7 linked regions of the Xenopus tropicalis genome follow. The protein of the gene in region 4 interacts with the protein of the main gene of each other region in a biochemical or structural test. Links are inferred from orthologs where the notes say so. Each region holds a gene or a part of one and is shown on either strand. Other genes may lie near its edges.

The links.
Region 1: the proteins of egfr (region 4) and lyn form a complex in vitro, tested with the Homo sapiens proteins (2 studies listed by BioGRID and IntAct, with this or other methods). The link is inferred for Xenopus tropicalis from reciprocal best matches to the Homo sapiens genes EGFR and LYN.
Region 2: the proteins of egfr (region 4) and ptk6 form a complex in vitro, tested with the Homo sapiens proteins (2 studies listed by BioGRID and IntAct, with this or other methods). The link is inferred for Xenopus tropicalis from reciprocal best matches to the Homo sapiens genes EGFR and PTK6.
Region 3: the proteins of egfr (region 4) and smurf2 form a complex in vitro, tested with the Homo sapiens proteins (2 studies listed by BioGRID, with this or other methods). The link is inferred for Xenopus tropicalis from reciprocal best matches to the Homo sapiens genes EGFR and SMURF2.
Region 5: the proteins of egfr (region 4) and sh2b3 form a complex in vitro, tested with the Homo sapiens proteins (2 studies listed by BioGRID and IntAct, with this or other methods). The link is inferred for Xenopus tropicalis from reciprocal best matches to the Homo sapiens genes EGFR and SH2B3.
Region 6: the proteins of egfr (region 4) and lrrk1 form a complex in vitro, tested with the Homo sapiens proteins (2 studies listed by BioGRID and IntAct, with this or other methods). The link is inferred for Xenopus tropicalis from reciprocal best matches to the Homo sapiens genes EGFR and LRRK1.
Region 7: the proteins of egfr (region 4) and src form a complex in vitro, tested with the Homo sapiens proteins (6 studies listed by BioGRID, with this or other methods). The link is inferred for Xenopus tropicalis from reciprocal best matches to the Homo sapiens genes EGFR and SRC.

What each region holds. Positions count from the first base shown.
Region 1 is NC_030682.2:115,678,549-115,682,582, reverse strand, and holds part of lyn (tyrosine-protein kinase Lyn), read right to left. Parts: intron 3,413-4,034; exon of another isoform or gene 2,960-3,412; intron 1,646-2,959; exon of another isoform or gene 1,606-1,645; intron 1,279-1,605; coding exon 1,125-1,278; intron 1-1,124. UniProt on the Homo sapiens protein: Non-receptor tyrosine-protein kinase that transmits signals from cell surface receptors and plays an important role in the regulation of innate and adaptive immune responses, hematopoiesis, responses to growth factors and cytokines, integrin signaling, but also responses to DNA damage and genotoxic agents.
Region 2 is NC_030686.2:1,941,479-1,946,148, reverse strand, and holds the start of ptk6 (protein-tyrosine kinase 6), read right to left. Parts: upstream 2,895-4,670; 5' UTR 1,292-2,894; coding exon 786-1,291; intron 1-785. UniProt on the Homo sapiens protein: Non-receptor tyrosine-protein kinase implicated in the regulation of a variety of signaling pathways that control the differentiation and maintenance of normal epithelia, as well as tumor growth.
Region 3 is NC_030686.2:51,425,386-51,429,882, forward strand, and holds the start of smurf2 (E3 ubiquitin-protein ligase SMURF2), read left to right. Parts: upstream 1-1,635; 5' UTR 1,636-1,875; coding exon 1,876-1,927; intron 1,928-4,497. UniProt on the Homo sapiens protein: E3 ubiquitin-protein ligase which accepts ubiquitin from an E2 ubiquitin-conjugating enzyme in the form of a thioester and then directly transfers the ubiquitin to targeted substrates.
Region 4 is NC_030682.2:56,743,642-56,748,434, reverse strand, and holds the start of egfr (epidermal growth factor receptor), read right to left. Parts: upstream 3,260-4,793; 5' UTR 3,239-3,259; coding exon 3,154-3,238; intron 1-3,153. UniProt on the Homo sapiens protein: Receptor tyrosine kinase binding ligands of the EGF family and activating several signaling cascades to convert extracellular cues into appropriate cellular responses.
Region 5 is NC_030677.2:163,245,930-163,250,533, reverse strand, and holds the start of sh2b3 (SH2B adapter protein 3), read left to right. Parts: upstream 1-1,703; 5' UTR 1,704-2,151; intron 2,152-4,604. UniProt on the Homo sapiens protein: Links T-cell receptor activation signal to phospholipase C-gamma-1, GRB2 and phosphatidylinositol 3-kinase.
Region 6 is NC_030679.2:115,749,417-115,753,450, reverse strand, and holds part of lrrk1 (leucine-rich repeat serine/threonine-protein kinase 1), read right to left. Parts: intron 2,941-4,034; coding exon 2,743-2,940; intron 1,633-2,742; coding exon 1,352-1,632; intron 484-1,351; coding exon 289-483; intron 70-288; coding exon 1-69.
Region 7 is NC_030686.2:39,466,140-39,470,173, forward strand, and holds part of src (proto-oncogene tyrosine-protein kinase Src), read right to left. Parts: intron 2,641-4,034; coding exon 2,403-2,640; intron 1,473-2,402; coding exon 1,373-1,472; intron 1-1,372. UniProt on the Homo sapiens protein: Non-receptor protein tyrosine kinase which is activated following engagement of many different classes of cellular receptors including immune response receptors, integrins and other adhesion receptors, receptor protein tyrosine kinases, G protein-coupled receptors as well as cytokine receptors.

The sequences.
Region 1 (4,034 bases), about 59 Mb from region 4:
GTATGTCTTAGCAGAATCCCCTGGTTTCTGTGCTGCCATGAGATGTCAGTCTGCATCTGCATTATATATATATCAAGAAAGGGTACTGCACACACAGGGACTTAATGCAAAGAAAAAAAGTGTTCATTGAAAAAAATCCAACATTTCAAGCATGGTCTGTGCTCTTCCTCAGGGACAAACCAACAGACTATGTCCCAACAGCCACATTAAATACCCCCCCACCACATAAAAAGTCCCTGTGTGTGCAGTACCTTTCTTTATATTTTATGTTTTACCTGCACCCAGGTTTTGTGAAGTGTGTGCTCCTCTCTGTTCATATATATGATATATACTTTCACTCGTTAGTGAGGACCGCTAGTGGGACCGAAACGTCAGTTTCCCTCAATAAAATTTGCTGTGGATATTATTAAGTCTTGAGGAGTGTGAGATTTTTCAGATGGTGATTATACATATTTCCACACTGCACCCAGGCGAAGTATTCTACTTATACGTGAGTGCCTACCCTCCAATATATATATATATATAATGCACTTATCGAAAGTTTGTGAACCCTTTCAAATGTTCTATATTTTTATATGAATGTGACCTAAAACATCATCCGATTTTCAAAGTCATAATATGAGATGAAATAAACCTAGTTGATCAAATGAAAGAAAAGGCATAATAATTTTTGTTTAATTTGTTTCACTAGGTTTTCTTTATTTAGTTTTAGGATTTGTTTGAAAATAAAATGATGTTTTAGGTCACATAATATAAAATATGAAAGGGTTCACAAACATTCAAGCACCACCGTATGTGCACAAGGGTATTTTACCACACACATTTAATGCCATGAACTGAGACTCTTTACCCCTTTTATTGCCACACAGCTGAGTATCACATGATTTTGCAGATCACTATGCTTCCTATTTACAACAGTTATAAATATTGTGAGCCAGGCAATCACTTTTTTAGGGAGTCACAGTTTAATATTATAGGCATCCTTAGTATCTGTTAGCAACCTGGCACTATCTTATTGTAAATAATGGAAGCAATTTGTTAGGGTAATAAAACAGAGCCCTCGATTGCTGGAACAGATCTTACCATTTGTCTGTTTTACAGCACATTAAAAGCAGAGCACATACCTTCCCTTGCAGTGTACTCATTATCTTCAATTACTCGGGCAAGACCAAAGTCAGCAATTTTGCACATTAAGGATTCTGAAACAAGCACATTAGCGGCTCTCAGATCTCGGTGGATGTAGTTCTTTTTTTCTATATAAGCCATGCCTTCAGCAATCTGTGGGAGAGATTATTAGGTGGTTAAGAGTACCTATAGGAGCCAGTCATAGAAGCCATTAATCTTTTGGAATTTAAAGGAACACTGTCATGGGAAAACATGTTTTTTTTCAAAACACATCAGTTAATAGAGCTTCTCTAGCAGAATCCTGAATTTAAAGTGCAAACTGTTTTTGCTATGTTTAATTTTGAAATGTCACATGGTGCTAGCCATATTCTTCATTTCCCAGGGTGCCACAGCCATGTGACCTGTGCTCTGATAAACTTCATTCACACTTTACTGCTGAGTTGCAAGATGGAGCGATATCACCCCCCTCCCAGCAGCCGATCAGCAGAACAATGGGAAGGGAGCAAGATAGCAGCTCCCGGTAGGTATCAGAATAGCACTTAATACTTTAGCATCTGCTAAACTGAAATGAAAAGTTCTTGTGCATGATTCGTAAAACTAAATGTACAATATTTGTAAGAAGGTGTTAATCTGGCTGCCATGACAATGTGCAAATCTCTTTAAAGGTTTCAATACAATGTAAAACGAGGAAATCTGAGCCGTGGCTAATACCACTGTTGTACAGATAGCTGGAAAAACAGGTTGAATATGACACCAGAATGTGTGCAGTGAAGAGGAAACCATAGCTAAAATGTATATTTCAGTTAAACCCATTATACAAACAAGCTCCCCAGTAAAACCAAAATCCTGTTGCTCACTGATTATCTACATTCCCAGTGAATTAACAGCAAAAAACCATTTAAGTCCAAGATAATTTACTCTTCTACTAAATAATACATACATATATGGAGACAGGGGTACCCCCATAAGACAGTGGGAGTGCTACCTATGTTTTTTGCTTGGTGAAACGCCCCATGAGCCATAGCCCTTGAACAGCAATAAATACAGGTATGGGACCTGTTATCCAGAATGCTCAGGACCTGGGGTTTTCCAGATATGCGGTCTTCCCATAATTTGGATCACAATGCCTAACGTCTACCAAAAAATCATTTTAACATTAATTAAACCCAATAGGTTTTTTCCTCCAATAAGGATGAATTATATTTTAGTTGGGATCAAATAAAAGGTTCTGTTTTATTATTACAGACAAAAAGGAAATTTTAAAAAGAAAAAATAGGATTATTTGCTTGTAATGGAGTCTATCGAAGATGAACTGCCCGTAATTCAGAACTTTCTGCATAATGGGTTTCCAGATAAGGGATCCAATACCTGTACCTTGTACTTGATTCCAGCTAAGATATAATTAATTCTTATTGGAGGCAAAACAATCCTAATGTGTTTATTCAATATTTAAATAATTTTTATCTGACTTAAGGTATGGAGATCTAAATTACGGAAAGATCCCTTATCCGGAAAACCTCAGGTCCCAAGCATTCTGGATAATAGGTCCCATACCCGTATAAGGATTTATTTATTTATAGATTGATGTAATAGGTTATTCACTCTGAGCTGATGGTGTGTGTGGGGCACCCAGGAGCAGATATAACAAAACTCAAGGCACTGATAATCAACTTGGAAAACAATGGCAGGTGTGACTACCGTACCTGAAGCAGGGGCCTAAGTAGCCCCAAAAGCTTAGTTAACCAATTAAAACTCTGACCTACTATATATTTTCTAGTATTATTCAGTCTAACATATGCTTCCTCTCCCTAACTTGTCATCTGCTTATTTTCAGATATACCCCTTCACTGCTTCTTTCTCAGATGCACAAAGTATCTTATTCTGCTTAACCTGAAAGGCGTCCATCATGTTCAGCCCACAAAGAATAACTCTGAACTCTGAAGCTCTACACACGGCAGATATTGTTAGCCATCTTTTGTCTTTAGTCATCCTTTGACTATAGTGGCCAACAGCTGCCCATGTATACATATGCAGAACCAAGGAGGTCCTACCGAACATGCTGGAAAATTCATGAGGGAAAACCCACTGATGCCAAATGCTTACTGGGCCTCTGCCATTTGATCTGGTGGCTGCCTGTACTGTCAAATCTGGCTGAAAGTTTGTAGATAACCTGGTCTGTCCATTTAGCTGCTAGGAGTAGCCATTTTCATATGTGGATATGGAACTCATTTAATAATTACAGTAAAACATTAAAACTATATTATGCAATAAATCCTGATGAATAATATGTTTGAAGTTCTGGTCCTTCTTCATGTACATATAACAAATACAGTATATAGTAAACCTAAAGGTTCCTGGGCCAAATTCATTGCTTTAAGAGGAGGCTACATGTGCACAGACCATCATGCAGTTTGGTCAGTAATGGACTATTGTAGCCCCCCCTTTTGTGCCCCCCCCCCCATCTGTCTGGCTGCTGTGACTGCTTACCTTTGTGTATGTTTAAATGGTATCAGTATTAACTGCCTTCCTGCATTGTTCACACCTTAGATTAAGGCTGTAAATTCCTTCACTGTTCACACCCACTGTATTGTTCACACCTGTAAAGTGCATAGTCTTGATAGGTCTCCCTGTCTCCTTCTCAAGCATGCCTGTGTCATATTCTGCTTGCCCTATGCTGCCTGTGTGTACCATACTCTGCCTGCCCTATGATGCCTGTGTGTACCATACTCTGCCTGCCCTATGATGCCTGTGTGTGCCATACTCTGCCTGCCCTATGATGCCTGTGTTTGCCATACTCTGCCTGCCCTATGCTGCCTATGTGTGCCATACTCTGCCTGCCCTATGCTGCCTGTGTGTGCCATACTCTGCCTGCCCTATGCTGCCTATGTGTGCCATACTCTGCCTGCCCT
Region 2 (4,670 bases), on a different chromosome or scaffold from region 4:
TCGGGGGCCCAGGAAAGCACAGTTACCCCACTTTGCATTTCAGGGGGCCCAGGAAAGTGCAGTTACCCCACTTTGCATTTCAGGGGACCCAGGAAAGTGCAGTTACCCCACTTTGCATTTCGGGGGGTCCAGTAGAGCACAGTTACCCCACTTTGTATTTCAGGGGGCCCAGGAAAATGCAGTTACCCCACTTTGCATTTCAGGGGGCCCAGGAAAGTGCAGTTACCCCATGTTACATTTCGGGGGGGGCCCAGGAAAGTGCAGTTACCCCACTTTGCATTTCGGGGGCCCAGGAAAGCGCAGTTACCCCACTTTGCATTTCAGGGGGCCCAGGAAAGTGCAGTTACCCCACGTTACATTTCGGGGGGGGCCCAGGAAAGTGCAGTTACCCCACTTTGCATTTCGGGGGGCCCAGGAAAGCTCAGTTACCCCACTTTGCATTTCAGGGGGCCCAGGAAAGTGCAGTTACCCCACGTTACATTTCGGGGGGGGCCCAGGAAAGTGCAGTTACCCCACGTTACATTTCGGGGGCCAAGGAAAGTGCAGTTACCCCACTTTGCATTTCGGGGGACCCAGGAAAGTGCAGTTACCCCACATTACATTTCGGGGGGCCCAGGAAAGTGCAGTTACCCCAGAGCCCCGGGCACCTCATGATGTGAGTCATTTCTTAGCTAAATGTTGAACCTCTCTGTGTCATTAACTTGCATTTTAGCAATATTATCCCTATAACATGATTTGCCCCCATTATTGCCCCCATTATTGCCCCCCATTATTGCCTTACTTACTCCTGCTCTTCCACTGTTCCTTCCTCTGCCAGGAAATTGTATGGGACGTATCCCACCTCGGGCTTTCCCTTCCCGTCCCCCTTCAGCTTCTGCACGTGCCACCAGTCTCCACTTCTGTCCAGAACTTCGAAGACGTCTCCAACTTTGAAGCTTAATTCCTCCGGCGCTTCAGCCTTGAAGTCCCAGAGACTGACGAAACGCTTTGGCCGATGGCTCATCTTGGCGTTGCCATCCAACCAGTTCCCAGGGAATATCAAAGCAAGGGTCTCGGGCTTCTCGTCCCACCTCTGCCTGCCCTGGAGAAGAGGACAAGGTGACCTGAAATGACTCTGAGTCAGGACATTGGCCCCCACTCTCAGGGCGTTGGAGGAGAAGAAAGTGGAAGTGAGGGAAGCAGAGCAATGGAGGGACTGTGGGGCCTTCCCTCCCAATGAACGTGAGAGTCCAACCTGCTGGAAACACCTTACTTCCTCATCCCGTGCTCGTCCCGCGCTGCTCTGCCACATACCTGAGGGCGAGATTAGGGGCGGGGAGCCTGTGACAAGGACAAGGTGTGGGACACTTGGCTGCTACTTAGAACTAAACAAGGAAATGCCAGAAATATCTCTCAAGCTCTATGTAATGCAGGGATGGGCTCGGCCTTATGGCAGTGTCAAACTGCAACTCCCCATGGCTCTAATAATCAGTATCATTGCCATACCATCTAGGACAATTACTCTGGTGCAAGCTCCATGTTAGACAAGCTCCATGATAAACAAGCTCCATGTTAGACAAGCTCCATGTTAGACAAGCTCCATGTTAGACAAGCTCCATGATAAACAAGCTCCATGTTAGACAAGCTCCATGATAAACAAGCTCCATGATAAACAAGCTCCATGTTAGACAAGCTCCATGATAAACAAGCTCCATGTTAGACAAGCTCCATGTTAGACAAGCTACATGATAAACAAGCTCCATGATAAACAAGCTCCATGTTAGACAAGCTCCATGTAAGACAAGCTCCATGTTAGACAAGATCCATGTTAAACAAGCTCCATGTTAGGCAAGCTCCATGTTAGGCAAGCTCAATGTTAGACAAACTCTATGTTAGACAACCTCTATGTTAAACAAGCTCCATGTTAGACAAGCTCCATGTTAGACAAGCTCCATGATAAACAAGCTCCATGTTAGACAAGCTCCATGTTAGACAAGCTCCATGTTAGACAAACTCTATGTTAGACAACCTCTATGTTAAACAAGCTCCATGTTAGGCAAGCTCAATGTTAGACAAACTCTATGTTAGACAACCTCTATGTTAAACAAGCTCCATGTTAGACAAGCTCCATGTTACACAAGTTCCATGATAAACAAGCTCCATGTTAGACAAGCTCCATGTTAGACAAGCTCCATGTTAGACAAGCTCCATGATAAACAAGCTCCATGATAAACAAGCTCCATGATAAACAAGCTCAATGTTAGACAAGCTCCATGTAAGACAAGCTCCATGTTAGGCAAGCTCCATGTTAGACAAGCTCCATGTTAGGCAAGCTCAATGTTAGACAAACTCTATGTTAGACAACCTCTATGTTAAACAAGCTCCATGTTACACAAGCTCCATGTTAGACAAGCTCCATGTTAGACAAGATCCATGTTAAACAAGCTCCATGTTAGGCAAGCTCCATGTTAGACAAGCTCCATGTTAGACAAACTCCATGTTAGACAAGCTCCATGTTAGACAAGCTCCATGTTACACAAGTTCCATGATAAACAAGCTCCATGTTAGACAAGCTCCATGTTAGACAAGCTCCATGTTAGACAAACTCCATGTTAGACAAGCTCCATGTTAGACAAGCTCCATGTTAGACAAGCTCCATGTTAGACAAGCTCCATGTTAGACAAGCTCCATGTTAGACAGCCCAATGTATTCTTTATCATGGCCCAGATCCAAGCCAACCCCCTTGCCCATTTGCTAGTTACACTTCTGATCTCTGTCCTTTATTCAGTGGGGTAATTACAATACAGCAAAAACTATGGTTGTGGGGAGCCTAGACTATGGGGTCTGCTGTATCATATTCCCCCCTGGTGGGTCCCCGACACCCCATTCCGACACTGCTCCATGTTACATGTAACATTGCAATGCCAATGACACTGGCAATACAGAAGTCCAATTACAATCTCAGAGTTCAGCTGCTGACTCTCTAATTCTGCCTGGAACATTATTGCCCTTATCTCTCCCAATAGTTATCTGATCTCCAATTGGTGTATATAACTCCTCCCACTTATTATTTTTGTGTGACAGACAGACAGCAATGTAACTAGAAAAAAAGGAACAGGAACAAAGGAATTTTCATTTTTAGTAAACACTTTATATAGAGTAGGTATCGCCCCCTAGTGACCAGAATGGGTAATACATGTACCAATTATAAACGTCTGCACTACTCAAAAATAGTAAAAACTTTATTAACAGCCCCATGTGGATAGCCCCGGCTGTTAATGTTTTTAATAGATTGAAATAAATAAAAATTTTAAACTATTTTTAAGGTTTATAATTGGTACAAGCAATGGACCTAGAACCCAGTCGTGTTCTGAGACTACGTCCTTGCATTTATTCTGTTATGTATTCATAGAACATGGCCATATGTTCCTCTAGTTTAACTGTGGATCCCCCAGGTTGGAACCATTCTCGGGCCGGGTCAGTGGCTCCCTATCCCCATATGTAATAAAAGTCACTAAGTTTGCCCAGGAGCAGTAACCAATAGCAATTAATAAGAGTTTTGCTTTTAAACAGGTGACCAGTAAATGCTTCCTGCTGATTGGTTGCTATGGGTTACTGCACCTGGGCAAATTAGTGCCTTTTTACCCCATAGATGTCCAGATACTGCAGTTCCAGCTTTAATGCAGATAACCTGCCTGGTCTAGGTAAATCCTTCCAGTTGTCTGGCTGGCTTGTACTGGCCCTTGTACTGGCCCTTGTACTGACTGGCCCTTGTACTGGCCCTTGTACTGACTGGCCCTTGTACTGTCCATGTATTGGCCCTTGTACTGGCCCTTGTACTGGCCCTTGTACTGTCCATGTATTGGTCCTTGTACTGTCCATATATTGGCCCTTGTGCTGGCCCTTTGTCTGGCCCTTGTACTGGTCCTTGTACTGGCCCTTTGACTGGCCCTTGTACTGGTCCTTGTACTGGCCCTTGTAGTGGCACTTGTACTGGTCCTTGTACTGGCCCTTGTAGTGGCCTTTGTACTGGCTACTTTCTCCTGCATGGCAGCCAGTGGCTCAGTTCTTGGATGATACCCCTAGCCCAGACTGCCCCACTGCTGCCACCTCTGGAAAGGGCAGCCCGGCACTAAGCACCAGGACAGGCTGTGCTTCTTGGCTCCTTTCAATCACTTGTCATAAAATTTCCCTGAAAAGAAATACCATTATGCCTTCTGCCCTATGCCATAAAGTCCTACCAAGTGCGCTAGTTCTGCCCTCTGGGCTATTGGCAGCGATGGTACCGCCCTTTGGGGGCCCAAAGCAGCTCTATGTTGGGCAGATACTTGGTATATTTGCACTCTTTTTGCCATTTTAAAACTTGGTTACACAGCCCAACGCGGCACCTACTGGTCTATCCCGCCGGCTACACCAAATGGGACGAGTACTTAACTGAAGAACTCCCAGCAGGACCTTTATTTACAAACCCATTCAACAACAACAAACTCATAGAGTTGCCACCATTTGCATTAAGTCCAGGCAGGGGGCAGGGAATGGGGTAGAATAAGAGGTGGTGATTGGCTGATCACTGTGTCATTCACATCATCACATGTCTGTATTTACAAATTTGGAAATCTGGAGGTGCAGTTCCCAGCTGGGCAGCCCCTAATAACCAGCCTGTCTGGGCCAACAATGGACAGGTGGCAGTT
Region 3 (4,497 bases), on a different chromosome or scaffold from region 4:
GTGTGAGTGTCTCTCAGTGAGTGTCTCTGGGTAATGGTGTGACTGTCTCTCAGTGAGTGACTCTGGGTAATGGTGTGACTGTCTCTCAGTGAGTGTCTCTCAGTGAGTGACTCTGGGTAATGGTGTGACTGTCTCTCAGTGAGTGTCTCTCAGTGAGGGACTCTGGGTAATGGTGTGAGTGTCTCTCAGTGAGTGTCTCTCAGTGAGGAACTCTGGATAATGGTGTGAGTGTCTCTCAGTGAGTGTCTCTCAGTGAGTGACTCTGGGTAATGGTGTGAGTGTCTCTCAGTGAGTGTCTCTCAGTGAGTGACTCTGGGTAATGGTGTGAGTGTCTCTCAGTGAGTGTCTCTCAGTGAGTGTCTCTGGGTAATGGTGTGAGTGTCTCTCAGTGAGTGTCTCTCAGTGAGTGTCTCTCAGTGAGTGACTCTGGGTAATGGTGTGACTGTCTCTCAGTGAGTGTCTCTCAGTGAGGGACTCTGGGTAATGGTGTGACTGTCTCTCAGTGAGTGTCTCTCAGTGAGGGACTCTGGGTAATGGTGTGACTGTCTCTCAGTGAGTGACTCTGGGTAATGGTGTGACTGTCTCTCAGTGAGTGACTCTGGGTAATGGTGTGACTGTCTCTCAGTGAGTGACTCTGGGTAATGGTGTGAGTGTCTCTCAGTGAGGAACTCTGGGTAATGGTGTGACTGTCTCTCAGTGAGTGTCTCTCAGTGAGTGACTCTGGGTAATGGTGTGAGTGTCTCTCAGTGAGTGTCTCTCAGTGAGTGACTCTGGGTAATGGTGTGAGTGTCTCTCAGTGAGTGTCTCTCAGTGAGTGACTCTGGGTAATGGGGTGAGTGTCTCTCAGTGAGGAACTCTGGGTAATGGGGTGAGTGTCTCTCAGTGAGGAACTCTGGGTAATGGTGTGACTGTCTCCCAGTGAGTGTCTCTCAGTGAGGAACTCTGGGTAATGGTGTGAGTGTCTCTCAGTGAGGAACTCTGGGTAATGGTGTGACTGTCTCTCAGTGAGTGTCTCTGGGTAATGGTGTGAGTGTCTCTCAGTGAGTGTCTCTCAGTGAGGAACTCTGGGTAATGGGGTGAGTGTCTCTCAGTGAGGAACTCTGGGTAATGGTTGTGACTGTCTCTCAGTGAGTGTCTCTCAGTGAGGAACTCTGGGTAATGGTGTGAGTGTCTCTCAGTGAGGAACTCTGGGTAATGGTGTGAGTGTCTCTCAGTGAGGAACTCTGGGTAATGGTGTGAGTGTCTCTCAGTGAGGAACTCTGGGTAATGGTGTGAGTGTCTCTCAGTGAGTGACTCTGGGTAATGGTGTGACTGTCTCTCAGTGAGTGTCTCTCAGTGAGTGTCTCTCAGTGAGGAACTCTGGGTAATGGTGTGAGTGTCTCTCAGTGAGTGACTCTGGGTAATGGTGTGAGTGTCTCTCAGTGAGGAACTCTGGGTAATGGTGTGAGTGTCTCTCAGTGAGTGTCTCTCAGTGAGTGTCTCTCAGTGAGTGACTCTGGGTAATGGTGTGAGTGTCTCTCAGTGAGTGTCTCTCAGTGAGGAACTCTGGGTAATGGTGAGTCTCAGACTGTGCGTCGCTCACAGTGTCCGGCCCCGCCCACATTCCTGCCTCCCGCTACTTGCAGTCTCCTCCCACAAGTGTCCGTGTCTCCGCCCCATTCCCGCCTGTGCCCCGCCCCTGTTCCCCGGTGCCTCCTCCCCGGGCTGTGAGTGGCTCCCCCGGCCCGTGTGGCTCAGTGCTGTCTCCGCTCTGCCCCAGGCTGATGGCGCTAGTCGGTAACTCGGGGCCCCCACAGTCCGCCTGACTCTCCCGCCCTCCCTCCGTACTCCAGGCCGCGGCCCGGGCCTAGCCTTGCTGTGGGACTCCCCGGGGCCATGTCTAACCAGGGATCCCGGCGGAACGGGCCGGTGAAGCTGCGACTGACCGGTGAGTAGGCCCGATACCCCTGCGTGGGGCAGAAGGCTCAGGGTGGGAGGGATCACAACAACAAGTTGGGCCCGGTGCTTCCCAGCATTCCGTGCGTTTGTCATGAGTTCCGGGGGCAAGTAGGGTAATATTCACCCCAGCTACTTCCTGCCGTTAGTTACCCCTCAGGCCTAACCTGCATGTTCCATTGAGCCCAGGGGCCCCTCTGGCTTGGCCTGGAGCTGAGCAATTGCCCTTTGAGGCAGGATTACTTGCCCTAGGTGGGGGTAACTAGTTGGTTTGGGGCCCTGGGTGCTTCTGGGGTCACACCCTGTGCTTATTGGGGTCCTGCCCAGGCTGTGAGTGCGCCCCCTAATTACAGGGCAATAACGAGACCTAATTAATAGAGTTTATATGAGTCTGGCGCTTGTACCCCTGTATGGGGCAGTTAGCTCATGTATGTGCCTGATTCCTGCGCCACTTGCCCCTGTATAGGGGGTACTTATTAGAGGGAAGAAGTCACTTGTGTAGGCTTGTGGGGGCGCCAGGAACCCTAAAATAAACCCCAAATGCCCAACCCCTCCCCTATCGGCCAGGCCTGGGGGCTGCAACCATCTTCCTTCAAGGCTTCGCAATCCCCTTTCTGGGCTAATGTGCATTTGGGGCAACTAGGATTGCTGCTCTTTGGATTCTGCCCCTGCTCAAGGTACCAACATGGCTCCTCAGCCCCAATGTGTCTGAGTTGCATCTCGATTGTGAAATAAGTTTTAGTCCTTTAATGGCATTTTACTGTATTTTGCGTGAAATCTGGAGTGGTCATTGGGGTATGTAATGGATCTGCCCTGGGCACTGCCACCCTTGGCTACTGGAACTCTGGCTGGACCTTATTTGCCCTTTAACTCATCTTTGAAGAGGATGCTGGGATTTGTAGTTCTTTAACAGCTGGTTGCCTAGGCATTCAAAAAGCAGTATTACTAAGTCCTTACCATATGGGCCCCCCTTTCCTCACTGACTACAGGGGGGCTGGTATTAAAAGCAATCATGGGTACCCACTCTAACCATAGGAAATGCCCACAATGGCTTGGCATGCAGAGATTTACAGTGGCATCCATGGTAGTGAGTATTGGCCTTGTCTGGCATTGTCCTTTAATTGTGAACCCTGTTGTTCGGGTTGCCTTTTGCTCACACTGAATGCTGGGAGATGTAGTTTCACAATATGTGGGCCTCTGGCCTAGGTGCCCTGCATTGTCAGTACAAGTGCAGCTGAGTGTGAGAGAGTACATGGAATATGAATCATGGTTTCTTATGGAGTCATTCACACTGGCAGTTTCCTTCTGAGCATTTATACAGAAACCATAGAGTTGTGCCCATAGGCAGACATACAGATACCATAGAGTTGTGCCCATAGGCAGACATACAGAAGCCATAGAATTGTGCCTATAGGCAGACATACAGAAGCCATAGAGTTGTGCCTATAGGCAGACATACAGATACCATAGAGTTGTGCCCATAGGCAGACATACAGATGCCATAGAGTTGTGCCTATAGGCAGACATACAGATACCATAGAGTTGTGCCCATAGGCAGACATACAGATACCATAGAGTTGTGCCCATAGGCAGACATACAGAAGCCATAGAGTTGTGCCCATAGGCAGACATACAGATGCCATAGAGTTGTGCCTATAGGCAAACATACAGAAGCCATAGAGTTGTGCCCATAGGCCCATGTCCCCCTGACAGACCGGCGTAGCCCCAGGTTTCCCCCCTGACAGACCGGCGTAGCCCCAGGTTTCGCCCCTGACAGACCGGCGTAGCCCCAGGTTTCGCCCCTGACAGACCGGCGTAGCCCCAGGTTTCGCCCCTGACAGACCGGCGTAGCCCCAGGTTTCCCCCCTGACAGACCGGCGTAGCCCCAGGTTTCGCCCCTGACAGACCGGCGTAGCCCCAGGTTTCGCCCCTGACAGACCGGCGTAGCCCCAGGTTTCCCCCCTGACAGACCGGCGTAGCCCCAGGTTTCCCCCCTGACAGACCGGCGTAGCCCCAGGTTTCCCCCCTGACAGACCGGCGTAGCCCCAGGTTTCCCCCCTGACAGACCGGCGTAGCCCCAGGTTTCGCCCCTGACAGACCGGCGTAGCCCCAGGTTTCCCCCCTGACAGACCGGCGTAGCCCCAGGTTTCCCCCCTGACAGACCGGCGTAGCCCCAGGTTTCGCCCCTGACAGACCGGCGTAGCCCCAGGTTTCCCCCCTGACAGACCGGCGTAGCCCCAGGTTTCCCCCCTGACAGACCGGCGTAGCCCCAGGTTTCCCCCCTGACAGACCGGCGTAGCCCCCAGGTTTCCCCCCTGACAGACCGGCGTAGCCCCAGGTTTCCCCCCTGACAGACCGGCGTAGCCCCAGGTTTCCCCCCTGACAGACCGGCGTAGCCCCAGGTTTCCCCCCTGACAGACCGGCGTAGCCCCAGGTTTCCCCCCTGACAGACCGGCGTTATAAAGTCATTATGGCTGGGAATGTCAATGCTATAAATGCAGTGATGACCTGCTTTGTCAGCGTGTTCCTCTGGGCCGGTCCCAGCTGCAGATTCCATGGCCA
Region 4 (4,793 bases):
ATGTAGTGAAATCAAACATGCCCCTTTATTTTGTCCACTGTCAAATTAACATCCAGTGCCTGCCTAAACCTAATACAACTGTATTCATAATGGATTATCAATCATTTTTTATTTACAAAGCCTATTATAGGTTTATGGGGAACGGCACACAGGAAACTGGAAATATAAGCATTTTATTAAAAGGGAGAACATATGGTATTGTGTGCACTAAACAGTCAGATCTGCATATTTCTATTTAGTAAATGCAAACTAGTTTACATTTTCTTTTTCAGTGCAGTGGAAGGGCTTATATTTTTCTCTGCCCTCTTTAGATGTAATCTTTACAGAGTGTAGCATTACGGCTGCTTGTGGGGGCCTGTCTCTGCATGCTGCATTGTTCCTACTGTTTACCTCTTTTTGTTAATTAACTAGATGGAACAATTAACATTTACAGGATGCCCTCAGAGTTTCTGTAATACACAGCAACTTGATTCAAACATGGAAACTGAACTCCAGCCTTGTACATTTACTATGGTTTCAGTAAAGAGGTCAGCTTGCTTGATGACTGTTGCCTTCCCCTGCTAGACAAGGTAGGTTTTCAGATTAGACAGAATTCCATAGAGATCAGGAAGTGTTGGTCCAATTGTTTTTCCCTGCTGTAAAACTCGTAAGTGATATTACACAATCAAAAGTTTAATTACATTAGAACCATTAGAAGAAATGAACAACCATGATACTAAATCATCACCTATGCTCTGTCCAGGCATGAAGATTTAAAAGTGTATGATCAAGTTATTGCAGGGAGCTTGGTTTTAGTTTTATCTTATAAAATGATTAAATGTGGCACAGTTCTTCGGGCTCACAAATACCCACAGTCATACAGTGTTCAAAGGCATAGCAATTCTTCCATGAAGTTCTGAAAGTTCTACCCAACTCTCTATGCGTAGTAGAGAACTCTCCTATTGTGCCAGCCAGCACTTCTGTATATCAGCCATCCTGATGTTATCTAACATATGAAGATTGATATGCAGTTTTGGGCTGCCAATATTGCACTGTAATTAAACAGATGGACTGACGTAATGTTTTTTTTTGTTAGGCAGTAGAAGGAAGCTGTTTAATCCATCTTTGGCCAAACACATAAAGCAAAAACAGGGAGTCAGGTGCACAGATACCAGGCAGAGGTCTTACTGAAGGAATGTCATAAATATATCATACACACAAGTACAAAAAATCCTTTGGCTCCAGGTAAATATCAGTGTGATATCAGCAGCAATGACATTTGTACCAATTTATATAAGACAAAATATTATGTAAAGCGGCTGAAATAAGTATAAAATATGCAAAACACAAACATTAAATAAAGGTTTCATTGAGATTTGACATGTATTTATTTATTTATACATTCCATAGTGGAATGTTTGTGGCACCAACAGAATTTGCAACCACTGTGGCAGAAGGAAATAAAAATTATGGTGGGGGGACAAGTTTAGTCTAAAGCTGGCCATACACTCACTGATAATATCGTACGAAACCCCGTTTACATTGTCACATTTATTCAGTCGAACTGCACACCTGGAACAGACTGAATTCTATTGCCCCAAGTCAAGACTTCAGCATGCCCACATGACAGAACTGTTAAAGTATTGTTATTTTTACAGTACAAAGTGCAATGTACTAGAACAAATACAAATCTGTGCTTGTATAGCAAGCTCCTGATAAATTCTTTTCTAAAAAGGGTGGGGAGCCAGCATCTTAGCCTTAGTAGTTATTTAGCGGATCCTATTAACTACACACATGACAGTATATGTTAACCATCTGTGGTCTGAAAGAGCGTGGTAAAACAAATTGCTCAGAAGTCAGAGAAGAATTTCACCCACCTACTTATTTATAAAAAAAAAATGGGTTTTGTTCTTAATGTTATATAAGCTACAACACATAACTGAAAACAGAGGCAAGATCAATTTCATTAAAAAAAACAAAAAAAAAATCATTGTTGGACAGTAGCATAGGCTCCCATGAAATGTCACAGATATTTTATATTAAGTCCAGATGCTGGCGTTTTATAACTATACATACATTCACTCACCAGTAAGCCTGCCTCTCTATATATACTGTAGATATATACATATTTAAACACTTGTTTATCTGCTGCATCAATCAATCCATCAAATGCAAATAAAACTGTTGTAAGTTATGTAAATAACTGTTTGTAGTTTTTTTAAGTTCCTTGCTCTTGCCTTATGCCCTGTGTGTGGGTTTTGAAGCTGAAGATGAGTTCCAATGAGGGCAAAGTAACTTAAGTCAGAAAAATTATTCACTATGCAAGCTTTTTATCCTTTGAACATATTTAATATAGGGTTTGCAAACCAGCTAAACTATTTAGCAACCCATATAACAGTACAAAAATACTGTGCAGTTTATTGTTTGCATTAGTGCACAGTATAGGTTATAAAGCTTCTTAATTAAACAAAAAAAAATTTGCACAAAAAATATGCCACCTTGCAGCAGGTCTTACAAATGTGTTATGTGTAATTAAAAGTCACAATGCAATATTTGTCTAATGCATAATATTGCAATAATAGTCAAATAATGCATTGCTGAGCACACATTTTTGTTCTTATTTATGCAATTATACCATAGGATGATTTTTATTACATCCACCCACTAAGTATCTCTTTTATAGAGGTGTTTCTGTAACCATTCTACAAGGACATAGTCACAAGTTTATACACAGGGTGACTACAAATGTACACAGCTCACACTCCAGGACAGTCTCTGCCATCACAAAAGCATGTCTTTTCAAAACACAAGACCAATTTCTCAGGATAATTTTGTAATATTGCTGTCACAGCCCACTGAAGGAAAGGGATTTACTTTCTTGTGTATTTCCTGTATCCTTATAGTTCCCATAGGAGGCACAGGGAGTCCCCTTGTCCCATATTCAGACCAGAGGAGGATTACCTGTATCCAGCCAGGTAGGCTCACCCTATACTCCTGGCTACACTCTGTAGGTCACAGGAAATCAATAAGTGGATGTAGAGAGAGGCAATTCACTAGCCAAACCAACACTGCCACTATCAGAAACGCAGAAAGTCTGATAACCCTTTGTGTGCCAGGGCTGGCTTCCCTACAGGCACAGAAGCAATGAAGTGGCAAGTGAATTTCTTTCCTTACCTTTCTTTTCTTCCAGAGAAAAGCAGGACTGACTGACGAAGAAGACGCAGATATATAATCCCACACTCCGGCTAAAAGACCCCATCCCGAGTCTTCAGCTACCCCCAAGAACAGAAATGAGGATGGATCCTTCCTGCAGTCCTGTGCTTTATCTGCTGCCTCTGACACCGGTCTTGTTTCAGTGACCCAAATCCACAGAACGCCTCACATCCATTGTGAACACGATATATACCCACGGGGGAGCGGAGGGAATAGAAGGAAGCTGAGAGCGTTGGACTCCGAGCTTATTGTGGGGCTCTCTCACATGAGACAGTCCAGTGTCTTCTCTTATCTGGTGTATGGAGAAACAGCAGGGAGTAAACGAAGTGCCAGTGACAGGAACTGCTTATCCCTATTTCCACACTCACTTCCCAGGAGTTGCAAAACTTTTGACAGAACGAGCCGGTCTGTGTGAGTCCCTCACGAAAAGAATCTGGCATGTTTGGCTGCTGTGACATCACGGAGAGGTGTGCCTCATTCCACTCCCCCTCCCACAGCCTTCCTCACACTCCAGGACGAGCCGAGCTACGGGCATTATTATCGCTCACTCCTGGCAGAGCTTCATAGGAGCAAGGGAAGCAGCGCCACCTATTGGTCACAACAAACACAATAGGAGACAATTCGCGCAATAATGCAGTTCACTAGCAAATCAGCAGAATCGTTTATATTTATGAGCAAAATATAATTTTGTAAATGCTGGAGTGCTTCAAAAAGTAAAATGGAAGCTGAAAACTACTGCTTGACAAATACATTTTGTCAACAAATACGTTTTAACAAAGCTAAAGTTTGTCTTTCTGCGATGGGCTGTAAAGCACCACGTCTTCCGCTGTCACATGAAACGCCAGATTAGAGTGTTCCAGGGAATCAAAAATGACACCTGTGACTGTTTGGATCAATGCGGTGCATATTAGGTGTCTAGATAAGAAGTTACCATTTAACTTCAAAATTATGGAACGTGTCAATAAAATCCAGGGCTGCAGTGATTGCAATTAAATGTAACATGTATAGGTGTCCCTGAAATTTCATGTGATCTGGTAACCCTGTGTTAAACAACTGAGCCCCCAGCCCTCCTCCAGCCACCCAGTAAAAGCTGGTAAGAGGCAGATGCCTTTTATGAAGGGCATAGAAAAAATCAAAGGGTCCTTCACTGAGCAGCCAGGATGGACCAAGGGATAATGTGGAGTTGAACCTCAGCTGACAGAAGGGCTGCTGTGAGATGCTATAGAGCAGGGATCCCCCGACCTTTTTAAAAAAGTGTTGGGGAGCAACACAAGCATGAAAAATATTCCTGGGGCTGCCAAATAAGAGCTACTTAAAGGAGAAGGAAAGGTTAAGTCACTTGGGGGTGCCAAAATGTTAGGCACCCCCAAGTGACTTAAATTGCATACTTTTTACCCCGGGCTGGTGCCCCTGTTCAGAGAGAACAGCACCAGCCCGGGGTAGCTGCAAGCGCTTCCTCTTCCGTATTCGCTGCACGCGCATGCGCAGTACAGTGAAAAAGCCGAACTTAAACATAGAAGTCGGCTTTTCACTCTACTGCGCATGCGCCGGCCCACGGATTTCGCCGGCAGCGCGAAAATGGAAGGAGGAAGGCTCGCTGC
Region 5 (4,604 bases), on a different chromosome or scaffold from region 4:
AGTAACATAGAAGTTGAATATACACTTTAAATGACTGACACTTTTAAATGACTGATGTATCTTCCTTGAATGTCCCATCAAGAAGTAGAAGGGCATCTACTATACCTGAAATCTAAACTTTTTGTGGGAACGGGGATTGGTAAAATCCAAAATTAGCTAAGTACAATATATATATGGAGCATGAGGAGACAGATAAAGGGGTTATTCACCTTTGAGTTATAGGTAGAGTAATATTCCAAGACAATTTGCAATTGGTCTTCATTTTTTATTACTTGTAGTTTTTTAATTATTTTAATAATTGTACAGCAGCTCTCCATTTTGGAGTTATAACAGCTATCTGGTTGCTAGGATCCAAATTACTTTAGCAACCAGGGAGTGGCTTCAATGAAAGACTAATATATGAATAGGAGAGGATCTGAATAGAAATAAAAGTTATAAAAAGTAACAATAACAATAAATCTGTAGCCTCACAGAGCAATAGTTTTTGGCATTTGAAAGCTGCAAAGAGTTTGAAGAACTGAAGAACCTCAAACTGAACCTAACGAAAACTGAACTAATGATCTTTCCACCTAAGCCTGGTCCTACCCGCCCCCCTTTACTATCTCTATTGATGGCACCCTCATCAACCCTGTCTTTTCACCTCCTTGTTTGGGGTCTTTGACTCCTGTCTCTCCTTTTCTGACCATATTAACACCACTGACAAAATCTGTCACTTTTTCTTACGCAATATTGCCAAAATCCATCCCTTTCTACTGCAATGGCTAGGCTGCTCATGCATGGTCTCATCCTATCCTGACTTGACTACTGTAACCTGTTACTAACTGGCCTCCCTAACTCCCATCTCATCGCATTGGAATGCCCTCCCTGATTTCCTCCGGAGAGAATGCTCCCCCAGTCTTTTTAAAACTAAACTTAAAGACTGCCTTTTGGAGCACTTACCCAGCACCTGACCAGGGAACTAGCACTTATATTGTAGTGTCACCCACTGTGACCTACAGCACTTATATTTGCCTATTTGTATCTGTAAGGTACCCTCCCATCTAGATTGTAAGCTCTATGGTGCAGGGACCTCTATCCTCTTGTGTCTTTGACTCTTAACTTATTACAACTGTATCTTGTATTTATTGTTATACTTTGTATCGATTTATTATCTTAATAACCCCCTGTTGGTATTAATGTATGCTACTGTACAGCGCTGCCTACATAAGTAGCGCTTTATAAATACAGATATACATACATACACATAATTAAAAACTATTACTAAGGCAGAGTGCCGGGGCAGAGGCTGAATGCAGGGGCGGTGGGACGTTAATGTCAGGAATCCCAGGCGCAGCAGCAGGGCTAGTGTGAGTAGGAGGAGGAGGAGGAGTTTGGCTGCACCGTCGCTCCGCCCCCTGTGGTCAGAGAGGGGCTTGAGAGTCACTTTCGGTTTAGCAGGAATGATGCGCGCCTGTGCTGCTCGCCCTGAGGGAAGAGGAGAGCGCTGCATTTAATTGAGGCTTCATTGGGCAGCCCTGCTCTGTACTGTGCCCTGTCCGTCGCCACCTGCTGCTCCAGCTGAGCCCAAACTCAAGCCCAAACACGTGGAGCAGGAGCTGACACAAGTGGCGATCGCAAGCGCTTTGCCTGCTGTCACCGCTGCATCAGGGATTGCACAGCGCTCAGGGCTGGGGGACTGTTAGCGGCGAGTAGAAGCGGAGATCTGCAGGATCAGCCGGGGAATCCGGCGCTACATGGCGGCCCATGTGTCAGGCAGTGCTGTCCCCCAGTGAGCCCGCTCCGGCTGCCTTCTCGGCGCTACATGCAGAGGCCAGTGCAGGACAAGTAGTGGCTCGTTCCTCCTTCCTTTACATAACAGATCTCGGCATGGGAAACGTGTGCTGTGGGTATACCCGCGGGGATCTGCCGCAAAGAACATCCTGAGCACCCCTCCCCCACCGGGATCTCCCTGGCTGGAGTCACCGTCTCCGGGCTGGGATCTAGCCACAACACATGTAAAGTAACTGCCTTCTCTGTGTGTCTCCTGGCGGAAATGATGAATGGTTAAAGCGTTCTTTATTTTAAGGGTTGGTTTCCTCCCTTGAAGGACTCATGCAGAGTTATGGCTTGAAGCACCATGGGGCTTCGGAAGGAACACAGCCTTTCCAGCAGGTAAATACTGGCCAGTGTGTCTGATCAATATTCCACTTTAAAGGACCGGTCACATTAGCAGGTCATTTCTTGGTTAGCAGCCTGACACCGGCATGCAGTCATAAGCAATTCTGTCAAATGGCCTTATATACCCATCCCAGGACATTCCTGTGGCACAGTGCTAAGTCTCTGAGGTGCTACTATGCTACCAGCTCACGTTTCACAGCAGTTCCTCTCTGCACCTAACCACATGCCAGGGTGATCTCATAACATTCTACAGTTTAATAACTAGGTGGCAGCAGGCTTTAGTCATGCCACAGAACATTTTGTACTTAAGTCCTGGAAAGCTGCACTTTAGAATATGTTTATAGGGCACACAGCAGTGTTGCCGGCATGAAATGGGTCTTGCCAAGGACAGTGGTATAAGTATATCATGTTCAGCTCACATTTGTATGAGATGTCATTTATATGTGCAGCCTGATTTGGCCACAGAACTTTCCACCAATGCCAGGTACCAGGATTTATAAACCTATTTATTTCTATGGAACAAATTGGCATAGATACTGCTGTGTACATACACAGAGTTGGCTAAAAGTAGAATTAGGGGGAAAAATGGCAATGTGTTTTCTAACTTCACATTACTGTAATCGTTTGTTAATTAGCACCAGCATCTCTGACATCACCCTTTCTTGCCCCCCCCCCATCAACCAAATACTGCAAAGGAAAGCTGTAACGTATTTCCAACTCAACTGCCTTTGTTCACCCAGTCCAGTTATTACTGGGCCTGCAATGCAAAAAGAATTGTGAGTGCTGAGGCCGTTGGGTATTGTACATGACTGCTTCTAAAGGGGAAGGGAAAAAAGTTTCCAGATTTTTTTACGTGTGACAATATTGTGTGTATGTATGTAATGCCCAGGTATAACAAACCCCTTAATGAATATTCATGTGAGTAGTAATGTTTATTAACTGGTGGGGTGATGCAACTGTAAATTGGTAAAAATATTGCGCAATAGTTGTGAACTCACTCTTACATTATAAAAAAAAAATGTGCCTCCAACTAAAATTTGAAGTTGTACAAGATAAGCATTTCCTTCTGCTTTTGAACCATGACTGTGTTTTTGGGCACCCCTGTAAGGTTTCCTAGAACCCTTCTCCCCCCCAAACTGCATTCGCCTGTCAGTGGAAGCTATGATTTGCTCATCAGTAAAATCTCAAGAGTCACTGGATGGGTTACACTTATACACAGTTCTTTTGTCAGTATTATGCACTTCTGTCAGAACATTTCCTTTCTATACCTGCTATATCCTGTGGAGATCTGTTTAAATCTTCTGTAAAGTCTCAGTGACCAGGTATAGTGTAGTATGGAAATGTCTGTGTTTTCCCATGAACATCTTTAAAAAACAAACAAACTGTTAAGTACTCAAGTAATGCAGGTATGTGCTTATAGGGTATATATATATATATATATATATATATATATATAGCGTTGGGGTATTTAGAATCTGCAGTTTGATATATAAAGATTTAGAAACCATAACGGGTATTGACCCAGAGGTAGAATGCAGTCATGAGTTAGTTGCTATCTCCAATTCTGGGTACAGTAATAACCTTGATTCACTTGTTCAAAGTATAGACTCCCCTCTAGGAACAACCCACAGTTTTTAGGTAACTACAGATGTCTGTGGGTATAAGCCATAATAGTGTATGAGAGAGGTAAGCTAAACCAATTTAAAAAAAAAAACATCTTATGATATGGCAATAGAATTTAAGACTTTAAGAGGATAATACAATAGAAATGTCTAATAGTGGATATTATTATGATCCAAAAAACCTTTTAATTGTTTCCTTAGCTTTTCGTTCCAAACTCTGTCTTCTCTGTTGTATCCAGCTTTTAGGGATTTGGGCCAAATGGGTGCACAATGTTTTAATGGACATATATATCCAAATATTGTTTCTCTGTTTGTTTCAGCCCAAGTCTTCAGTGTTTGGATCTGACATGAAATCCTTATTTTCCATTGCACCATGAATCCTCTGATAATGTGCAACAGCAGGTTTATTTTTTAGGCCAATGACACACGTGGAGGTTAGTTGCTCAGTAATTAATCTTCTGTATCAGTGGCGACTAATCTCCCCAAAAGCTTTCCTGTTGAAAGTTTCCTTGCAAGGCGACTTTGGGAAGCCGAAGCAACACATATGTTTTCCTACCGGCTATACAGGGATAGCTGTTGAGTGGCACATACAATGGCTGTGTTTAAAGTGAACATTGCTTTCTTTAAGCCAGTGATCCCCAACCAGTGGTTCGTGAGCAACATGTTGAATTTCTGGTTAGGAGGCAAGTTTTGGTTGCATAAAAATCCAGTGTAAAGCCAAACAGAGCCTTCTGTAGGCTGCCAGTCCACATAGGGGCTACCAAATAGCCAATCGTAGCTTTTATTTGCACCCCCAGAAACTTTTTCCATGCTTTTGTTGCTCCC
Region 6 (4,034 bases), on a different chromosome or scaffold from region 4:
CAACTGGTACTTAAAAACTGTGAAGCTGGGGTCATTCATACGATGGACAACTGATGAAGCTAAAGGCCGCTATTTTGAATAGAGAATGAAACAGAGTTCACAAAGCAGCCTGAGTTGTTGCTCTTGATTTACATGAATGGAATACTTTCAGTTATAAGAACAGACCAGAGGTTACAACTGATAATGACTTAATGTGTCAGTGAGGCTGTATTCAGAAAACAAATACTACAAGTGAAACATGCACTCAGTAAATACTAAGGCAAATATTGCTGGCTTGTGGAATTGTACCTTTTCAGGCTTCGTGTCCCAACATTCCATCATCAGGTCCTGCAGATGATGGAAGTGAACTTCCTCTGGGCGTCCAAGAACTGGACGAATCCCCTTGGACAGTTTCTTGGAAATCTGCAGCTGGTGCTGGCCCAAAGATGGTCTCTGGCCTGACAATAGCTCATACAGGACCATACCATATGAAAACATATCCACCTACCAGAAAAGAAAAAAAATGGAAGCACTCAACATGGTATAGGCATAATAAGCAGCAGAAGCAAGAAACATTGTGGAGAGGCCACAAAGGCCCGGGCCTAGGGCGGCACAAATTTGGGGGCGGCATGCCGCCCCGCCGCACCACAATCTTAAGCTTTTTCATCCATATGGAGCAGTGGGGACCTCTCCCCCACTGCTCCATTTGCAAATGTTTACACCCTGCATGCACGTTGGGGAGGGGGCGGTGCCGATTGCACGTTCACGCATGCGCATGGGGGGGGTGTGCTGATCGTGCACATGCGTGGAGGGCGACGGACAGGGGCGGCAGGATTACAAATCCGGCCCTGCCTACGGCAGAGACTGAAATAAGCCAGACTGAGCCAATGTTTCATGGTAGGATAAAAAGGCTTGCATTAATATAGGAGAGGAGGAAGGGCTCTCAGCCCTTTAAGCTAGCTACAGTGATATTTGTAAAGAATTCCTTTTTGCTTTTTTAGATATACCTGAAAGCCCAGCTTGAAGCTAAATTAGGGCTAAAACTATGGCTGAATAGTTAAAAAGTCCAAACTGTAACCCTGTCATGAACTAAGGTGGTCCCTGATAAGAGGTTGAACCTCTGTGGGGCTCTTCAACCAAAAACATCTGGCATCCACTGGTTTAATATCTAATAATATCTAATAATGCTAATAGGGCAGCTTGAAAATATACAGGAGGCTAGATGTGCAAGACTAAGTGCAATATTAAAGAAGTGTAACAGAACAGAGCCATGTACAGTACATGTTATTATAACTGCCTTACATAAAAAAAAAGTTATTTATTTGATCAGAAAACAAATATCAATCTCACAGCTGACCCAGTTGACAGTTACCTTTTCATCATACACAATCCGAGGACGGATTTCGGGTGCTTGATATCCTGGGGTGCCTTCCACACCCAGGGCTCCCTCATGGAATGACAGCCGCGAAATGCCATAGTCTGAGAGTTTGATTATCACAGCTTCCTTGACATCCAGGGACCAAACCAGGATGTTATCTGATTTCAGGTCACAAAATATTATATTCTTTTTATGCAGGTAGGACAGCCCAGATGCAATTTGATAGGAAATACGCTGAGTGAGCATGTGACCAAGAGGCATGAATGAACTTGCATCTATAAGATAAAGACAAATAATTAGTTCCCATTATATCATCCAATGATTTTGGTCAGTCGCCCCTTCAATAACTCTCCAGATTAGTCTATTGTGAGCTACACTTCTTGCTTGGGTTCACTACGAATGGTGATGCTAATGCTAATAAATAGTTGAATATGTCCAAGACAAAAAACATCATATTTCCTTCAAAATGATGGCCCTTCCCTCCATTCACTCTAAACCCAGTTACCCAGGTAGGTGTCGACAGAGACCTGTGTGGACCTGTGTGGGTCCAACTGGTAAGATCTGCACCCTACTGGAAGATCCACACACAGACCAGCAACTTGCATTTTTACCCTTAATCCGATGAACAAATGCTTTATCTACATCATAATCCACTATCACCTTACCACCATAAAACTGAAATCAGTCTGGAATGATCCGCCTCTTCTTGCATCAAACAAGATCTCATATTAACCATGTTCTCAGTGCCCCTTATCAATTACTTTATGAAGGAAGAATTGCAATATGGTTTATTTGGGTTCAGGAGTGCCTGCCTTTCATTGTTTCGATTTCCATACTTTTTTGTTGGGCCCTTTTAAAGTGCTTCTCTCAAGTAATGGCATGCTAGCTATATGTTCAGGTTCTCATGGATGTATTTGGATGTTAGCACAGCAACACAACATTAAACTTTAAAATGTTTTATATGGACTCGGCAGGACTTGATATATTTATTATAAAAATGTTGGTTTACTTATTTTGGCCCACTTTCAGTTTCCTGTTTTCTTCTTTCAAATGACACCATATGATTTGTGGGGATTAGTATGGTGCCATTTTTTCCAACATGCATAATCATAACACTGACCCTTATTTGAAAAAAGAGGCCAGAAGGATATAAATGTCTGCTGTATATACATGGCAACGAGATCATTATTTGCAAGACCAAACAAACAAAAAAATCATGCAAAGAAAATTCCTACAAATCTTCAAGCTATGAAGCTTTTAGCCTCCAATCATGTGTGTATGGAAGTGTGGGTGGAATTGCACAAGGGACTCAAAGCACATAAACATGGTTAGTAACAATTTTGTGGTCTGTGCAGTGAACTGATCCCGGATGTAGTGGTAGTCACCTTGGGCTGTTCCTGCCAGCACTGTGTTGAGGCTCCCCAAAGGTGCCAGCTCCAGGGCAAAGCACAGTGGATGGATGCTGATGCCAATCAGGGAGACAATGCAGGGGTGCTGCAGAGTATGGAGCATGCTGGCCTCCTGACGGAATTCCGAGAAGTTTCTCATGGCGTCCATTGCCTGCAAGTGCTTGAACATGGTGTCTGGAATAGGTAAGAAGAAATGTTTCCATTAAGGCTCAGTGATCAAAGGTTTTGCATATTCTCACCATCTGGAACTCACAGAGTTCAAGCCTAGTTTATATGACTTATCTCTTTATTGTATCCAGTGACATAACAGCCCATCTGCCAACATTTAAACATTTGGGTTATAAAGTCTGGAAGCCATTAGTGCCTGAACCCAAAGCATAATTAAAGAGTTAATGTAAAAGCAGTTTAACAATATTCAGTGATATCCAGCGTGCCTCAGTGGTAGCAGTAAATATGGCAGCTGTCATTTCTGTATAAATACCAATATTAAGAGAATGTCTTTATTATGGAATATAAGTGAAAGCACTTAGCATTCTAGATTAATTACAACTACCATGACTCACTGATAGATCCACAACATAGCATTGAGCCACTGAATGTGTAAGTGTTCATGCAGCATGTATTAAAATTAAGGTTTGAGAAAGGTTTTGACACTGTATACCAGCCCTACTTGTGGGAAGTTTTTACCACTTATGGCTTTGGGCCCAGATTCATGGGTTGGGTCAAGGTCCTCTATGCATGACACCAAACTAAGGTCCTAGCCATTGAACCCTTGGCAACTCAGATAAGTCTGAACAGAGAAATTGCGGGGTTTCGATTAGGAAACTTGGTAGAGAAAGTGTCATTGTATGCTAATGACATGCTTTTATATTTGGCAGAATCTAAAAACTCTCTCCAAGCTCTGATCTGGCTATTAACAAAATTTGGTAAATATTGTGGACTTAAAAGTTAACTATAAGTCCTTAATCCCACCAAACAAGCCCATACAACTGCGTTTCTGAATTTAGATATTTAGGAATATGGATCCATATGTATGTAAAAAAGGTATCACCCAGCTATGGGAAAGAACCTTGGTCTGGCAAAATCACCCCTTTAGAAGTCAACCTCCTCAGGTGAGCAACCCAGGCTGGCCCTGCAGACACTGAAAGCCCCTCTAACAGGTGGCTGATTGGCCTTACAAACTTCCAGAGGTATTTCCTCGCCAGCCACTATTTGCTATACCTAGAGAACAACACCCCCGGAGAACAGTAGCGGAGGGCTTAATATCA
Region 7 (4,034 bases), on a different chromosome or scaffold from region 4:
ATAAAAGTCATTAATAATTTAGATAAAGATCAGCGACCCACGTCTAATCTTCTGCTGCATCGACTGATAGGATCTCATAACTGGAAGGGGTATATAATCCCCTAATGCAAATAGAAACTAATGTAGCTTTTGGAAATAATCCGGAAACCCGTTATCCAGAAATCTCTGAATTATGGCAAAGAGTTTGGCACACAAGCTAAAGGGGTCAGATATTAACAAAAGGGGAACCCCCAATATACAGAAAGCTCCAGATAGAGTCTATTATAAACAAATAACTCACATTTTTTCTCTGTAATAATAGCTTTTGCTTGATAGGGACCAATCTGCACGGATCCATATTGGGGGCATAACAATCCTATTGGGTGTATGTAATTTTTTAGGGATCTTTAGCCGACTTAAGGCTTGGTGATCCAAATTATGGAAAGATTGCTTATCAGGGCCAGAACTACGGGTAGGCTTAAGGACCAGTGAAGGCGGTGCTAGTACCTAATCTGGGCCCTTGTCCCCCTACCACCCTGAGGTAATTGCCCTGCTGCTGGGTTGTCAGCGTGCAAATGCCTAGGGGGCCTGGCCAGAAAACTCCAGGTCTTGAGCATTCTGGATAATAGACTCTATACTTGTATATGAATTTTTCTGCCTCTTTGTTATTAATTGTATGCCTGATTATTACAGATCAAAACCGCCATGATTCCCAGATGTACCAGTGGTTGTCGAGTGTACTCTTGCGGGCCCAGCACCCTTCCCGCTTTTGACATCAGTAACTCTGCCCAAGACTCCAGACTACATCCCTGGCTATAAATGCTTTAGTAGAACAACTGACTCCCTTGCACATTTTCGTTGATACTCTGATTTAACCAGTGGTGACTGAGACAGAAAGCCATTAAAGAATAATTTTGCGGTATTTATGCCCTGTCAGACATTGCCCCAATACTACCAGCCTGTGCAGGAGTCTCCAGACTCAACGTGGAGCATCTGCATACAGAAAGCCAGCCTATATTACAAACATAAACACACAGCAGGTGCAACTATACAACAGGTTGGTGCTGGAAGTTGGCTCCATTACTTGCGGAGTGTTTTACCCTAACAAGGAAGTGACTAATGCAATGGAAACTTGCCCCCCCCTCCTCCCCACACACAACTTGCCGACAAACCATAAATCTTCCAACCTGCCCATATAGGAAACATGTAAATGTAGATGTATAAATAGCTTCCAGTACTTTCTCTCATATGATCTTTAAATAGATATGACTTGTGAGATTTGTGAGAACCAAAACCGTGAATCAACGACTTCACTTTATTCAAAAGCGGGGGCCCAAGCGCCAGGTGTATCTATAGAGGAACCAGCCCAATAAACTCTGCTGCTGCAACTCACGTGTTATTGACGATCTGTAGTCTCTCCCCCTTCTTAAAGGACAAGTCTGTCTCGGTGCGAGATTCATAGTCGTACAAAGCGACAAAGGTGGTGACGCCCCCTGCAGATGGGAAAGTGGGAATTATAGAAAAGAAAACAAGAACTTTAGTCCCCCATCAGTTAATAGCAGAATATATTAAATAAATATTAGCACTCCAAAAAGCATACACCCTTGCACTATTGGTGATCACCCTGGGTTTGAATCTCATAATAATAATATAATAATCATATAATGTACTCAAAGGGCTTTTTACCATGATTTTTGCTGTATATCTTCCCTTTAACCATGTCCCCATTTTCCTTTTCCCTTGCTTGTATTAAAGCGAGATTCACTGCAAGTTAGTTTCCATTTGCAGCAAAGGGAAGTGACCTATTGGAAGGGCCAATAACACCAAAATCAAAGCCCAATCCCATCTATTGTGCTCAGTGGAACTGTAGATAATACACATTTATGAGCTATACTGCCCCCTAGACCACCCCACGGAATAAAGGTGGCCATTCACATGCAACTTAATTCAGCCAGATATCAATCAGGCTGGTTTAAAAACCTGTGACAAATTGGTGGCTGCCCATGGGTGGCCCAGATCCACTCATTTGGCAACCTCACCAAACAAGCAGATCTGGCAGTGTATGGCCATCTTAACTGCAGCCAAAATCAAATAAAAAAAAGATAATGCTTTCTAAAAATGGTGCCATATGTTTAAAAAATAGCACATTAGCATCCATATGTAAATGCTTTTAGGGTACTTTCATTTCCTGGTGTAAACGGCCCGTTTACAGCATAAAGTCACATAATTAGGCATTAATGGCAGGCATAGGTCTGTCTACAAGTGTCAGCAATTGAAAATATTTCCAATATTCTGGAACCACAACCTCCATGATTTCCAGAAAGTAGCAGAATGGGAAGTGCAGTTTGAGAATGCCACTGACAGTTATATAAAGCTGATCTCCATTAATGTTCCAATTAGGATAAGACCATGCCCACAGTTACCTGCTAGCGGTCCTATCCGCTGGGGGGAAGTGATGGTATCAGAGAAATTCACCCCTCCAAAAGGCGTCAGGTCACAGTTGCCCCCAAATGGCTGTGCAGGTTGCCGGTGGGAATCCAGGCTCTTGCTGGGGGTCTGAGAGGCAGAAAGGGAGGTAAAAGGCTGGTGGGACCCCTCAGCAATGTCCAGGCTGCGGCTCCGGGGGCCACCTTCTCGCGGCTTGCTTTTAGTGGCACCCATCTGCGTAACAAAACAAAAACCCTTATGTATTAAATCCCCAAAATGTCTACAGGTACTGTATATCTACAGAGGTAAAAAAGCCAATTGAGTCTGTGTGTGTGATCATGGCACAGGTCAGAAATTAGGATTACACAGTACATTCACTGTGTGATCGGCTCAAAGCTCTCAGGATTATATCCACCACAGTGCCTCCAATATATCCACCATACTGCCTATAAATCCATGGAAACAGGAAGCAGGAGCTGCAAAACTGTAAATAATGTTTTATTTCCCTATTTACAGCTTAGATGCCTGACCTGTTGCTGAACTACAGATCCCTGCATCGCCAGAGGGGATGCTGGAATTTGTAGTTTAACGGCAGCTGAACATTACGTGTGCAGTTTGGAAAACCCAGGCTGACAGGGTACAGTGAAAAATACATGAGACAGGAGCCAATTCAGAGGTTGCAGGGTTAAAGCCGTGTCCCACAATCCTATCTATTTTATGGGATATGAGGGGGGTGAAAGTGGATACAAGGGCTCCCAGGGCCACAATGAGGTCACAAACTGCCTGCTGAAGAATGAAAAATGTGCTCCCCCTCAAGGAGAAATAGGGAGGAGGAGTCCAGGGAGAGTTAATTGAATGTCTTGGAATGTGCTATGAAAGCAAGAGAGGGGGAGAGGGGAAATAAATGAAGGGATCTCAGGGAAGACAGGAGGGTGTCAGGATAGGAAGGCAGCAGGTGAAAAGTCTGGTGATATGATAATCATGGGTAATTTGGCTCTCTCCTGGGCATTCTGGGAGTTGTAGTTTAGGAACAACTGAAGAAACCAATGTACATTCTACAAGGACAAAGACGCTGTGTCTGACTTTATGCACCAGCTAATTCTACATTGTCCTTTATTTAAAGGGGCGGGACCAATGGCCCTGGCCCCTTTAATCCCCTCACAGCACCTATTACTCAGACTCAAGCTATCCCATGCCCTCAGCACTTCCCCTTCTTTCTCTCACCAAGCACAATGTCTCATTGATGCCCACAAATGCCACAAAAATGCAGAAGTGAATGGGGGAAAGAGGCAATTAAGGGGCTGGCTGACCAGCGGGACAGACGGAGAATGTTACACAGACATGGAAGCACTGAGCCACCTGAGGAGGTGGGACAGACACTGGGAAAGGGGTTATGGCAGAACATGACTAGGTATGACAGGGTTTCCTCACCTTTCTCTCATGTAAAATCAGCCGGGAAAGCCAGTTTACTCTTAACCTATGGATCAGGACCGACATTTGGTCCACATGGCAGGTGGATCAGAACCAAAAGCCCACCCTAAACAGCATGGGGACCCCTTTTTTAGTCTTGACCTACCCACCCTAAACAGCATAGGGCTGGGGTGTCAAACTCAATCACATAAGGGGGG